3 linked regions of the Sus scrofa genome follow. The protein of the gene in region 1 purifies or fractionates together with the protein of each later gene. This does not show direct contact. Links are inferred from orthologs where the notes say so. Each region holds a gene or a part of one and is shown on either strand. Other genes may lie near its edges.

The links. The genes of interacting proteins can lie anywhere in the genome.
Region 2: the proteins of TP53RK (region 1) and GON7 purify together in Homo sapiens (affinity purification with mass spectrometry; 5 studies listed by BioGRID and IntAct, counting the BioPlex papers as one, with this or other methods). This does not show direct contact. The link is inferred for Sus scrofa from reciprocal best matches to the Homo sapiens genes TP53RK and GON7.
Region 3: the proteins of TP53RK (region 1) and OSGEP purify together in Homo sapiens (affinity purification with mass spectrometry; 5 studies listed by BioGRID and IntAct, counting the BioPlex papers as one, with this or other methods). This does not show direct contact. The link is inferred for Sus scrofa from reciprocal best matches to the Homo sapiens genes TP53RK and OSGEP.

What each region holds. Positions count from the first base shown.
Region 1 is NC_010459.5:48,814,916-48,819,547, forward strand, and holds the start of TP53RK (TP53-regulating kinase), read right to left. Parts: upstream 3,070-4,632; 5' UTR 2,891-3,069; coding exon 2,602-2,890; intron 788-2,601; coding exon 309-787; 3' UTR 1-308.
Region 2 is NC_010449.5:114,588,005-114,592,051, reverse strand, and holds the start of GON7 (uncharacterized protein C14orf142 homolog), read left to right. Parts: upstream 1-1,247; 5' UTR 1,248-1,300; coding exon 1,301-1,508; intron 1,509-4,047. Other genes in the region: putative E3 ubiquitin-protein ligase UBR7, read right to left, coding at 897-1,046. UniProt on the Homo sapiens protein: Component of the EKC/KEOPS complex that is required for the formation of a threonylcarbamoyl group on adenosine at position 37 (t(6)A37) in tRNAs that read codons beginning with adenine.
Region 3 is NC_010449.5:78,453,229-78,457,470, reverse strand, and holds the start of OSGEP (probable tRNA N6-adenosine threonylcarbamoyltransferase), read right to left. Parts: upstream 2,801-4,242; 5' UTR 2,621-2,800; coding exon 2,506-2,620; intron 555-2,505; coding exon 435-554; intron 241-434; coding exon 65-240; intron 1-64. Other genes in the region: APEX1 (DNA-(apurinic or apyrimidinic site) lyase), read left to right, coding at 3,602-3,659, 3,860-4,047. UniProt on the Homo sapiens protein: Component of the EKC/KEOPS complex that is required for the formation of a threonylcarbamoyl group on adenosine at position 37 (t(6)A37) in tRNAs that read codons beginning with adenine.

The DNA.
Region 1 (4,632 bases):
TGTTCTCAGTATGAGGCTCAATGTTTGGTAACGCCGCCCTTGGATCTGAGGTACACACGTCACAATTGCAGAGAAAGCCTGTCTGAGGGGTAGTCTGAATACCCAGTTCTGCCAGAACGTGTCTTAGGGACACAGCAAGCTCTTGACAACAGTCAACAGTGGATAACACCACTCGACAAGCGGGATCACAGACAGCACTTAAAATACCTCACCACCTTTATTTAGGTCGAATCCCATATTCATAGCATTCCTTCAAATTTACTGTGAGGTGAGTGGCTGAACTGTCTGTGGTCGTCACGCACGTTCTTCTACCCAACCATGGACCTCTTTCTCCCTCGCAGGCGCACCTCATCTAATTTTTTTAGCACTGGCCTGGCCTTTTTGGAGGCGGCGGCATAGCTCTTTAGAAAGGCTTCAAATACAGTCTCGGTGTTGGGATGGGTACTGAGGAAGGCTTTCTCTAGCACGTACAGGTCCACTCCCTTATCTTCTGGAAGTGCTGAAATGAAACTCAGCCCAAAGTCTATGAGCACGATGTTCAGTTCTTCCAGCGGGGGTTTCAGGAGCATGTTGGACGTGGTGAGATCACCGTGAATGAGGTCTTCGTCGTGCATGCGAGCCAAAACCTGCCCGATTTTCTTGGCTAAGCCGAGGAGACTCTGGGGAGAGTTTTCAGTCTCCATAGTGGATTCTATATAATCTCGAACAGTCACTGAGCCTTCAATTTCTTCCATGAATAAACAGTTGGAAGCATAGTCCACAAAAAAGACAACCGGGGCACATATCCCTGCAACCAAGACACGGGTTAGATTCTTTTTTTTTTTTTTAATAGTAAGCCTAATGTTCAAACTGAGCCAGTTTTTCACAGTGTATATCTGTGTGTTTTGGGAAAAAGATTTAGGAATACTGTAGAATGGTGCAGCTTAACTCCTCCAGAAGTTGCCCCTGCAGGACTGTGTTTAGACCTCCCCACAGCAAGGGTCAGCAGTGCCAAAGCTACCTCCTCCCTTCTACCATTTATTTTTATGCTTTTTTTTTTTTTTAATTTTAAGGCCCACACCTATGGCACATGGAGGTTCCCAGGCTAGGGGCTGAATCAGAGCTGCAGCTGCTGGCCTACACCACAGCCACAGCAACACCAGATCTGAGCTGTCTTTGACCTATACCACAGCTTGTGTCTAAGCCAGATCCTTAACCCACTGAGCAAGGCCAGGAATCAAACCCACATCCTCAAGGATACTAGTCAGATTTGTTTCCACTGTGCCACAACAGGAATTCCCCTTCCACCCTTTATGACTGGACTTCATTTGTAATGCTTACTCCCTAAAATACAAAACAAAGAGCCAGAAGGGTAAGCACAGCCCAGTCAAAGCAGTTTCTATCCGACAAGGACAGGAGCAGGAGGCCGAGCAGCATGTTGGCTTTCAGATTCATCTTCATAGATAGGAAGGACAAGTTCAAATCCCAGCTCCCTTCCTTATGAGGGAAAGTCACATTAATTTCTCTACGCCTCCATTTCTGCTTCAATAACAACAATACTTCCAACAATTCAATGACGTCATTGAATCTGAAGATTCAGTGAATCTCTACTGAATGTCAAGCATGCGTAAGACACTTCTAGATACTGGAGGTAAATCAGTAGGGACACAGCAGGCAGCAATAGCCACCACCCTTGCTTAAAAGAACTTAGATCCTGGAAAGGGTGAAAATAGAAAATATGAACACACGAATCACTTTGTTAAGTCCAAGCATGTCCAGAGATGCATTTGCTACTGAATTTCCTCCAGATCTCCCAGCACCTAACAATGTCTTGGGGGTACAGTATATGCCTAAAAAATACCAGTGAAAGAAAGGGAGGAAATGCAAAAGTGAAAAGCCAGTGTTTCTGGGCCTGAGAGCCTGGCTGGGTCACTAATTACCTGTGTACCCTTGGGCAAATTACTTCTCTCTGAGCCTGCCGTTCTCATTTGAGGAAAGGTTTTTGGTGGTGGTGCTCGGCAGTGTTTTAATGAAAAAATAAACAACTGAATGAAATCTAATGTTTGAGCGCTAAGATTCAGTCATACGTCCAAACATAAAAAACGACGTATATAATCTCGTCTAATGGTCACGACATCCCTATGAGATGAATACTGCTACTGTGACTTCCCTTTGTAGGTGAGGAAACTGAGGCAGAGGTTATATAACTTTGCTGAAAGACTACATATGAAGCAGCGCAGTATTTAAATTCAGACTTCTTAAAAGTAATGAATAAAAAGATGATGCTCGAAAGCTGAGACGGTACAAATGGGAAAACCAAGGCTCAGGGCAGTTAAATGACATGCTCAACTTTGAGCAGGAGTGGGATAGCCGGGAAGTGAACCTGCCACCAATGGCTCCGAGGCAAATGCTAGTCGCTGCAAGGTCAAGTGACTTCTTAAAAATTAATGAATGAAAAGAAGGATGAAAGGATGACATTTTTTTAACGGAAGGCCACGCAGAAGGTACAAACGGAGAAATTGAGGCAAATCGCGGTCTGCAGAGCAGGGGAGCCCCCTCACCCGCGTTGCCCGGACCGCGGAGCCTCGGGGTCCTCCACGACCGCGAGTCGGGCCGCCTCACCTGCGCGGCGGCAGCGGAGCAGCGCCCGGGCCTCCTGCACCGTCCGTCGCCGGCCGAGCCGCGCCTCCAGCGCCGGGTGCCGGTAGCCCTTGGGGAAGCGGTGCTTCACCACGGCCGCGCGGCCTTGGAAGCGGCCGCGGAACACGCGCGCCTCGGCACCCTGCTTCACCAGCTCCAGGCCCCTCAAGAAGAGACTGCTCCGCTCCCGGGCCGCGGCCACCGCTTCCGTCGCGGGCGCGGGTTCCTCATTCGGTTCGGCAGCAGGAACAGCAGCGCCGGCCGCCGCCATGTTTGCGTCCCCGCGCCGCCGCTCGGAACCCCTCGTCTCTCTCCGGGAACTGTCGGAGCTGCTTCGGCTCTTTCTGGAAATCCTCGGACCTCTTCCGCCACCCGAACGCCGACACTTCCGCCTTGTGGAAGTGGTTCCGCCCCTCAAGCTTTCGGCTCTTTTCTAAGCCTCGTGGCCCCGCCTCCCGGATCTTCCGGCTACCTCCGTAAACTCTCGGCAACTCTCGGTAAACCAGTCTTCCCACTCCTCGGCTGTTTCCGGAAGCCTTTGGCGACTCTAGCTGGCGGCTATTGTGGCCCCGCCTCCCAGACCTTCGGCTATTTCCGGAAACTTTCGGCGCCTCTCGCGGAAAACTCTTTGGGAACTTGCTTGCCTAGGGAGTCTCTGGTTCCAAGGGAACTAAACCCACAAGAGTTCTCTTTTTGGAACTCCTCGTCCCCGAGCTCCTGATTCCCCCCAAAGGGGGCTTAAACTAATCAGAATTAGGTGTGGCAGGTGGGCAGTAAACCACGTGGCCCATGTCTTTAGCGCTAAGATAATAATAGCTACGAATTATTGAGTGCATTCTGGGGGAATAAGATTAAATGATGAAAGCCCATTTTACAGGAGAAAAAGATTCAGAGTCAGAGAAGGTGGCGGGCATATGAGGTTGTCGAGTTTTCCAAAGGAGACAAACCAAGCTGACTGGGAGTGCTTAGCAAACAAATTTTTACCCTTTGCTTTAATTGCTGTAACAAATTCATATGATACACAATTTTGCATGCATGAAAAATTAAAGAATGCCTATTCCTGTCACCAGTCTGCCCCACCACCAACCACTGTATAAAGTTTTTTTCCATGTTTTTTTTTTTTTTATATATGTGCACACTCACACAAATGGAAGGCAGCCTGAAGTGCCTGCCGCACTGTGGGATGGAGCAACAAACACTATTTCTCTGAGTTTCAGATTCATCATCTTCAGGACGAAGATCATTACTTTTACTTTAGCAATTGCCTATTAATATTAAATAAGATCTTGTTCATCAGAGTTCCTGGTGGATTGCATACACTCTTGATGTGTTCATTTTCCCTCCCTCACCATGGAGACCTTGTTTGAAATACTGAAGAAAGGCTCTTTGGTCTGAGGGTTGCTATGACACCAACCCTCAGCCGCAGTCCCTGCAAGTTTCATTCATACACAGGGCAGGTCACCTTTTCAAACATTAGATCCTTTATGTTGGCATAATGTGGTTTCCAGCATCTTTCATCAGCCCAGCCTACTTGAAGTTCACCCAGAACCAATTCTATTTATAGCGCTCAGTTTCCCGAGTTGGTACTTTCATTATCATAATTGTTAGTGTCCACATGGTCATCTCCATGGTTACCAAATCTGTCTGAACCCCTCTCTATGGCTGTTAGCATAACTGACAGCATCTTGGGTGTGTATAGTTTCTCCTGTCCTTCCACTGACTCTACCTATGACTGTTCTGTGTAGTAAATCTCTTCTCTAACATCAAGGGCTTGGTAGTTAATACTGTTTAATGAACTTTAGGTCCAGGTAGCCTGTATGCTCTCTTAGCCTCCCAAACAACGATGAAGACCTTTGCTGATGTACTCCTGGCTCCTACAAGACTAGTTACCCATTCATACATCCTGACTTAAGAAGGCCCTTCCTGTTTCCAAGCATGTACCCCTCTACCCTAGGTTAACTATAAAATTGTCCCAATAGGAGTTCCCGTTGTAGCTCAGCAGTATCCGTGAGG
Region 2 (4,047 bases), on another chromosome or scaffold:
CATTCTGCAGTGTAAATTCAACTGGTCAATGATGACAACTGGTATTATGATCTCAGTCCACACCACACAATGACCCTAAGTCTCTCTCCTCACCCTCCAACGTTCCACTCCACACGCCCCCCGCCAAGGAACCTTCCTCCTACCAATTCTCACCTCTTATTAGTTTTCTTCTACCCACCTTTCTCCATTTTTGTACCTAGAATATAGGATGAGTCACCCAACACTACATCACACCCCCTCAAAGCCTTGTTCACAACATCTTCCAAGTGCTCGCTCTCCTCCCCTACCCCCACCCCTTCGCCAGAGCCACCAGCTGTTCGGGTTCCGGTCTATCCTCCTGGGTAGCAGACTGCACAGAGACATGGTACTTGCTTCCTCTCGCCAAAAAACCAGATAGCACTTGTCAAACTAAATTGCAGAGGACCAGCTGTCCAAGTGCCCAGCCCACATGGGGAGATTTTCAGATCCAGAGATCTCTCCTTTATCTCTGCTTTGACTCCCACCTGGTTCCTAATAAATACTAAGGATGGGAAAATTAGGGACAAAGATGTCTGGATTTGAGAGGACACGAGGATGGTTTCGTGAAAAACACCCGGGGCACCGAGAAGAGACGGGAGAGGAAGGAAAGGCTGCTCCAGGGTCAAAGCCTAGAGATCCTGGGGGGTCGGAGGAAAACCGAGGGACGAAGGGGGCCCTGCCGGACACAAGCAGAGGAAGGGGGCTCACGAGACTAAGGGTAAAAGGGCGGCTGAGCCTGGGATGAGGAAGCCTATGACAAACAGTGACCCCGGACTACCACGGAGGTGCCGGCCTCGGCAGGCGGGAAGAGGGAAGGTAAGTCCGGGAAGAGAAGGTCCAGGGGAGCCGGGGGAGGTAAGGCCCGGCCGCGCGCCCACCTGCGAGTAGGAGCACTTCTCGGAGTCGCTGCCGCCTAGTACGGCGCACGCCTCATTCTCCAGCTCCTCGTCCTCCTCAAGTACATCGACCAACGATACCACGGGCTCCAGCTCCGACTGCCGCCCCGCGGTCCCCTCGGCTCCAGCCATCCTCAACTGTCACCCGGACCGCCGCTCAGCCCCGGCGGAGGCGGGAAAAGCGGGCGCGAGGGGCGGGGCCGTAGGAGGCGGGGCCTGGGTGCCTGGAACCAATCCCAAAGACGCCGAGAGAAGGAAGGGGGAGGAGCGACTTCCGACAAACGGAAGTCACTCCTCTTCCTTCTCCCGCCTGCGCCCGCGCTTGGCTGGTTTCCGCTTCCGGGTGGCGTATCCCTGTGGCGCGTTCTTGAAGCTCAGCGGTCGCCATGGAGCTGTTGGGCGAGTATGTCGGGCAGGACGGGCAGCGGCAGCGGCTACGAGTGCCCTGTGAGGCGCCAGGCAATGCCGACCATTTCCAGGGCTTGCTGTCGGGCGTGGCTCGGATGAAGGAGCTGGTGGCCGAGCTCTTCGGTTCCCCGGTACAGGGGGAAGCTCAGGACCGGGTGGCGGCGGCTCCAGAAGAGGCCTTGGACGGTGAGCTCTGGGATGGTGCTGGAGCGACTGGAGGGAGGGCAGGGGCGCCCCGGGAAAAATCTCAGGGAGCCCGTGTAAAACAGCAGACTGGAGAAAACTGGAGGAAGAAGGATTCCTACTAAAAATTGTTAGCACCTTCCGCCAACTCTAGGCCTAACCTGGGCTCACCTAGCAGGGCTGTTTTCACGACTCTTTTCATTTATATCACACACACACACACACACATACACGCACACACAAAACCAAAGAAAAGCGGGCCGAACCCCTGCTGCTCTGTGCCAATCATTGGACTGAGCTCTGAAGAAAGAATGAGGGTGAATGCGGCTTAGTTCCTGTCGTTGCGGAATTTTGATGAGTGATTAAACAAGTAAACGCTCTCATTAAAGAGTGGAAAGATGACCCTAGGATCCTCCTATAACTATTCGAACCTAGAGAACCCAGGAAGACCTAATAGTGGGCATGTCTGGCTTTTAAGCTGGGTGTTGAAGGATGAAAAGGAATTCTCCCAGCTGTGAAATTACGTTTGGAAGACTGCGGTCCATCGCAGAATAGGAGCGGGTTCCTAAGATTGGAAGAGATTTCAGATAAACAGGTGTTTACTCTCAGGGACTCCTTTCCTTTCCCGGTTTTGTAGGTGCAGTTTGAAAGTGGAAACGGGAAATTTAACTGGTTTAGTTTTTGGGGGGTTTTTTGTTTTAAGTCTTGTCTTGAATAGGTAGATACATTTTGACTGCCTTAAGCTTAAGAACCTAAGCATTAAATATTGGAATCAGGACTTAACTCCTCTGTACAGGCTCTTAAACTAATAATGTGAAGGAACCAATTCAGAATATTACACAAACTTCAGACAATGGATTGTTTCCGTGAGAGTGAAGTCCTGTTTCTTGACTCCAAAAGTTCCTCTTTAATCAGTTGCAAATTTTATCGTTGGAATAAGGACAGGTATAGGTAGAGCCATTGAAAAAAAAAAAGTGGGAGTTCTCATCATGGCTCAGTGGAAAGGAATCTGACTGATATTCATGAGGACGCAGGTTACATCCCTGGCCTCCTCAGTGGGTTAAGGATCCGGAGTTGCTCTGAGCTATGGTGTAGGTTGCAGACATGACTCAGATCTGGCATTGCTGTATTGCTGTGGTGTAGGCCAGTGGCTATAGTTCCAATTCAACACCTAGCCCAGGAACCTCCATATGCCTCAGGTGCGGCCCTAAAAAGACCAAAAAAAAAAAAAAAAAAAAAAAAAAAATGGAGTTTATCTTTATTTTGGATGAATTCTTTCTTTCTTTTTTTTTTTTTTACGGCCACATCTGCAGCATAGGGAGGTTCCCAGACTAGGGCTCAGAATGGAGCTACAGTTGCCAGCCTACGCTACAGCAACTCCGGATCGGAGCCATATCTGCAACCCACACCACAGCTCACAGCAACACTGGCTTCCCAACCCACTGAGTGAGGCCAGGGATCAAACCCACATTCTCATGGATATTAGTCGGATTCTTTTCTGCTGCACTGCACTGGGAACCCCCAGTGTATGAATAATATCTTAATTAGCAATGCAAAATTTTCAGAAATAACAATTATGAAAGAAAAGTGGTAGAATGCAACACTAAAAAGGCAAATAGTGATCATTTTGTAACGTCTAGAAATATCGGGGCACTGTGTGGTACACTTGGAACTAACAGTGTACTTCAATGGAAAAAAAAATCCTCATGTTGACGAAAAAAGACAGTCAGTTACCAAATGTGCAGAAGACTTGAATAGACAGTTCTCCAAATAAGATATACAAATGGCAAATAAGCACATGAAAAGACGCTCAACGTCATTGGCTTTCAAGGAAAGGCAAATCAAATCACAATGAGATTCCATGTCATGTCCACTAGGAAGGCTGTAATCAGAAAGAACACTAACAGATGTTAGCTAGGATATGAAGAAATTAGAGCCCTCATGTGTTGCTGGTGGAAATGCAAAATAGTGTACCTTCTTTGGAAAGCCGTTTGAAGTTAAAGTTATCATATGATCCAGCAATTCTAGGGATTCTTAATTCCATCCCTAGTTCTCCAAGAGAACTGGAAACATGTTCCCATAAAAAACAAATGCACAAATGTTCATAAGCAGCATTATTCATAATAACTAAAAAGTGGAAATAAGACAAATTACAGCAGATATTGTCAGAACATTGTAAATCAACTATACTTTGATGAAAAATTTTAAAAAACACACAAATGTCCATCTACTCGAGTGGAGAAACAATATGTATATCCATACAATGGAATATTATTTAGCAACAAAAAGGAGTGAAGTACTGATAAATGTTACACTTCATGAATGACCTTTGAAAACATGGTAAGTGAAAGCAGACAGACACAAAAAGGCATGTATTTTGCGATTCATTTACATTAAATGTTAAGAATAGGCAAATCTGGAGTTCCCGTCGTGGCGCAGTGGTTAACGAATCCGACTAGGAACCATGAGGTTGCGGGTTCGATCCCTGCCCTTGATCAGTGGGTTAACGATCCGGCGTTGCCGTGAGCTGTGGTGTAGGTTG
Region 3 (4,242 bases), on another chromosome or scaffold:
TTAAAAATAACCAAAAATCTCTAAAGAAAAAAAAAAAGAAGGAATAATGAAGTACTCTAAATACCTGTGTATTTCCTCCACTGACATACAGCACAGTTGGGCTGGTGGCTCCAGTGATGAGGCGGCCCATCTCAATGTGGCCTATGCAATGGTTAACACCCACCAATGGCTTATTCCACAACTGGGCAATAGTACGCGCCACAACAGCCACAGAAACCAATGGGGCACCCATACCAGGACCTAGGGAGATAAAAATGGGAGTTAGAATCCAATAGGGATCGGGATAAACAGAACTGGGAGAAAAGGAGGTGTGAGAGGTGGGGTGGGGTGGTGGCAGTAGCAGAGATGGTGGCAGTAATAGAGGCTGCAGCCTATTTTGACCATGCTAGGTTCCAGGTATATCCTTCTTTTGTTGACCACTCTCCCGGCCATACCTTTAGTATACGCAATGCAATCAATATCTTGTGAAGTTAATCCAGCCTCTGTTAGTGCCTCCTGCAGCAGGTCCAGGATAACAGCTCTGTGGTGCCTGGCAGTATCACCTGGAAGGAATCCTAGAAGATGGACATAAGTCAGAAATCATGGGGTCCTTCTACAGAAAGGTAGGTAGAAGTCAAAAACAGACATTTGGAGTTCCCGTCGTGGCGCAGTGGTTAACGAATCCGACTAGGAACCATGAGGTTGCGGGTTCGGTCCCTGCCCTTGCTCAGTGTGTTAACGATCCGGCATTGCCGTGAGCTGTGGTGTAGACTGCAGACGTGGCTCGGATCCTGTGTTGCTGTGGCTCTGGTGTAGGCTAGTGGCTACAGCTCCGATTAGACCCCTAGCCTGGGAACCTCCATATGCCGTGGGAGCGGCCCCAAAGAAATAGCAAAAAAAAAAAAAAAAAAAAAGAAAAAAACAGACATTTTAGTAGGGTAGGAAGAGTCCCTTTCACTTTCCTCAAGCATCCTGTCTTCTATGTTTTCAGATAGTTTTTCCAGCCTGTTCAGCTAGACTTACAGCTCTCAGAAATGCCCTCCTTCATACCCAACTCCTACTTAGCCTTTAGTACTCAATTCAAGTGATGCCTACCTCATATGTTTTGGTGATCTTGTGACCCTACAAGCCTGTGCATGATCACATCACTGTATTAACACACTACATGTAACACAGTAATCACAGCATTACTATTATTTGTAATTTTCCCAGTTTAACCACAATTATCTCAAAGCACTAGCTACTTTATTTTTGTACACTTGGTGCCAAAATGTCTAGAAGAGTGAGTGTTAAACACACGTATATATTTGGAGTTCCCACCGTGGCGCAGTGGTTAACAATCTGACTAGGAACCATGAGGTTTTGGGTTTGATCCCTGGCCTTGCTGAGTGGGTTAAGGATCCGGTGTTGCTGTGAGCTGTGGTGTAGGTCGCAGACGTGGCTTGGATCCTGCATTGCTGTAGCTCTGGCATAGGCCGGTGGATGCAGCTCCAATTGGACCCCTAGCCTGGGAACTTCCATATGCTGCAGGAAGCGGCCCTAGAAAAGACCAAAAAACAAAAAACAAACAAAAACATACATATATATTTCAAATGAGTAATCTGTCACAACATCACCCGACTTTCAGAGAGACTTTTCCGGTATATGCAAACCTCCCATGTATGCAGGTGTTTGGGGGGAGGTTATGCAAGACACAACATAACTTACAAATAACATTTCTAAAAGTGGTAATGGGGAGTTCCCATCCTGGCTCAGTGGTTAAGAATCCCACTAGGAACCATGAGGTTGTGGGTTTGGTCCCTGCCCTTGCTCAGTGGGTTAACGATCCGGCGTTGCAGTGAGCTGTGGTGTAGGTTGCAGACGCGGCTCGGATCCCACGTTGCTGTGGCTCTGGCATAGGCCGGTGGCTACAGCTCCGATTCGACCCCTAGCCTGGGAACCTCCATATGCCTTGGAAGCGGCCCAAGAAATAGCAAAAAGACCAAAAAAAAAAAAAAAAAAAAAAAGTTAAAAGTGGTAATGTGTCTGGTGTTTTAATTCTCAAGTACACAAAGAAACATATTATCATTCCCTTTTAAGAATAAGGAAAAGAAGTCCAAAACCAAAGACTGAATATTGAAAAGCAAGCCAGTTCTGGTACTTAAGCTGGGAATCTTTACATTATTTCTCATTCTAGAATATTTTGATTGCATCTACGTTATACTGTTTATAACACCGTAGTGTAAGTTCTGCTTTTATGTCCAGCTCCACAGCAGGATTATACATCTATTTTTGTATTCAGCAGCCAGTTTACAACTGACACATAAAAGGAGCTCAATAAAGGCTGAACGAACTCAGAAGATCCAGATCCAAGTGTCTGTGACTCCTCAAACCATCAGCCTTGTAATGCTAATACTGTCACACAATCTCAGAGTCGGATCAAAAATTGAGGGGACAATGCGCTCCACGCCCTGCTTCACTAACGTTCAGGAAGATGGACGGTGACGGAGAAGCTCGCCGCAAATGACAAGTTTCCTACTAGCGTACCTGTACCCGGAGGCGTGACGTAAGTGCGCCGAGGGTTCGCCAGCACGGTGCCATCCCGCACCACTCCCACGCCAATCTTGTTGGCGCTGCCTTCAAAACCCAACACCGCCGGCATGGCCGAGCCTGGGAGGAAACGCCGGCAGGGCCCCTAGCTACTACTGGAGCCGTAGAGCCTTCACCAATCCGCGCTGGAATGCAGAAGCCAGGTCTCAAAGGAAGAAAACGAGTTCGCGGCTACCAACCGCGCACCAGGACACCAAACAAGTCCCGCGTTTAGCGCGCGGGCCCTCCCCTCGCATCAAGGTCCCCTCGAGGGCCTGTTCTCTTAATTGCCAGGGACCTTGAGCCGGCATCTGCTCGTTAAATTCCTTTCTGCTTCTCTGCCTCTCTCCCATGGTCCAACCCAGCCTTCTCCACTGATTTTGTTCCCTCCTGCACAGCTTTGGGATCTCCGGTCGGGGCGGCAGTAGGAGTCAAGAATCTGGCACATCGATAAACAGCCCGAGAACGGAGAGCTGGGGCCCTCAGTGCCCTGGAGACACAGAGAACTGAGGCAAGGCTGAGCTTTCGGCCACGTGGCACTAACAGACCAATCATCCGCCTTCCTTCGCCTCCAGACACGCATCTCAGATCACGTGACCACACCAGTTACCACGTGGGGACACAGCGTGTTCCATTCTTTGTGCTGGGGTGAGGAGGAGCTTGACTAGACTCAAGCAGGTCAGTTACAGAGGTGCTCTTCTTTTACCCATCATAGGGGCTTCTCTGGACGTCTGATCGGCAAGCCTGAGTCAGGATTTTTAATTAAGTCCCTGGATTGTCCTGAGGCCCAATATCGTGAGGAGGGTACAAGGCAGTATGAAATGATCTAGTCTTGAGGGTGAGGGTCCGAAAGGCGGACAGTGCATGGAGGCGGGGAAAGAATTCGGAGATAACGTGGTTTGAAGGGCGGGACCTGGTGCGGGGGCGCTCTAGAGAGGAGTCTTTCCCCAGCCCTAGCAGGTTTCACGACTTTTTTGCGTCTGTAGGCAACGCGGTAGAAACACTGCTTCGGTGGGCGACGTGGAACTGCTACAGAAGGGCGTTTATTACAGTGATGCCGAAACGTGGGAAAAAAGCCGCGGTGGCAGAAGATGGGGATGAGCCCAAGTCTGGTAAGAGAGTGAAATGGGCCCCCTCTCCGTTTAAGCGGCGGTGGAGATCTCCGTAATTCCCTTGATGAGCGGGAAGTACAGACCATTTGATTCATTTTTGCAGTTTGTGAAGAAGTCGCGGCAACTGCAGGTTCTCAGTAACTGTATATTTAGCTCCGGATCAAAGTTAAAATACCGCCAACGTTTATCTTATTTTATAGAGCCAGAAGCCAAGAAGAGTAAGGCGGGAGCAAAGAAAACCGAAAAAGAGGCAGCAGGTGATGGGGCAGTCCTGTATGAGGACCCCCCAGATCAGAAAACCTCACCCAGTGGCAAATCAGCCACACTCAAAATCTGCTCCTGGAATGTGGATGGGCTTCGAGCTTGGATTAAGAAAAAAGGTTTAGATGTAAGTGGAATGAAGGGAAGGGTAGAAACCGATCTTGGGGTTTAATTACCTTCTCCTATTTCTGTCCCCAGCACTTAGGTTTAATTCTGTCGGTAGTTTTCTTATGGGAGAGGTACAAGGTTTTCACCAAGTCATACCACTTGTATTTCTTAAATGTCATTAGGACAGTTCTACTGTCATTGTCTTGTTTAATGT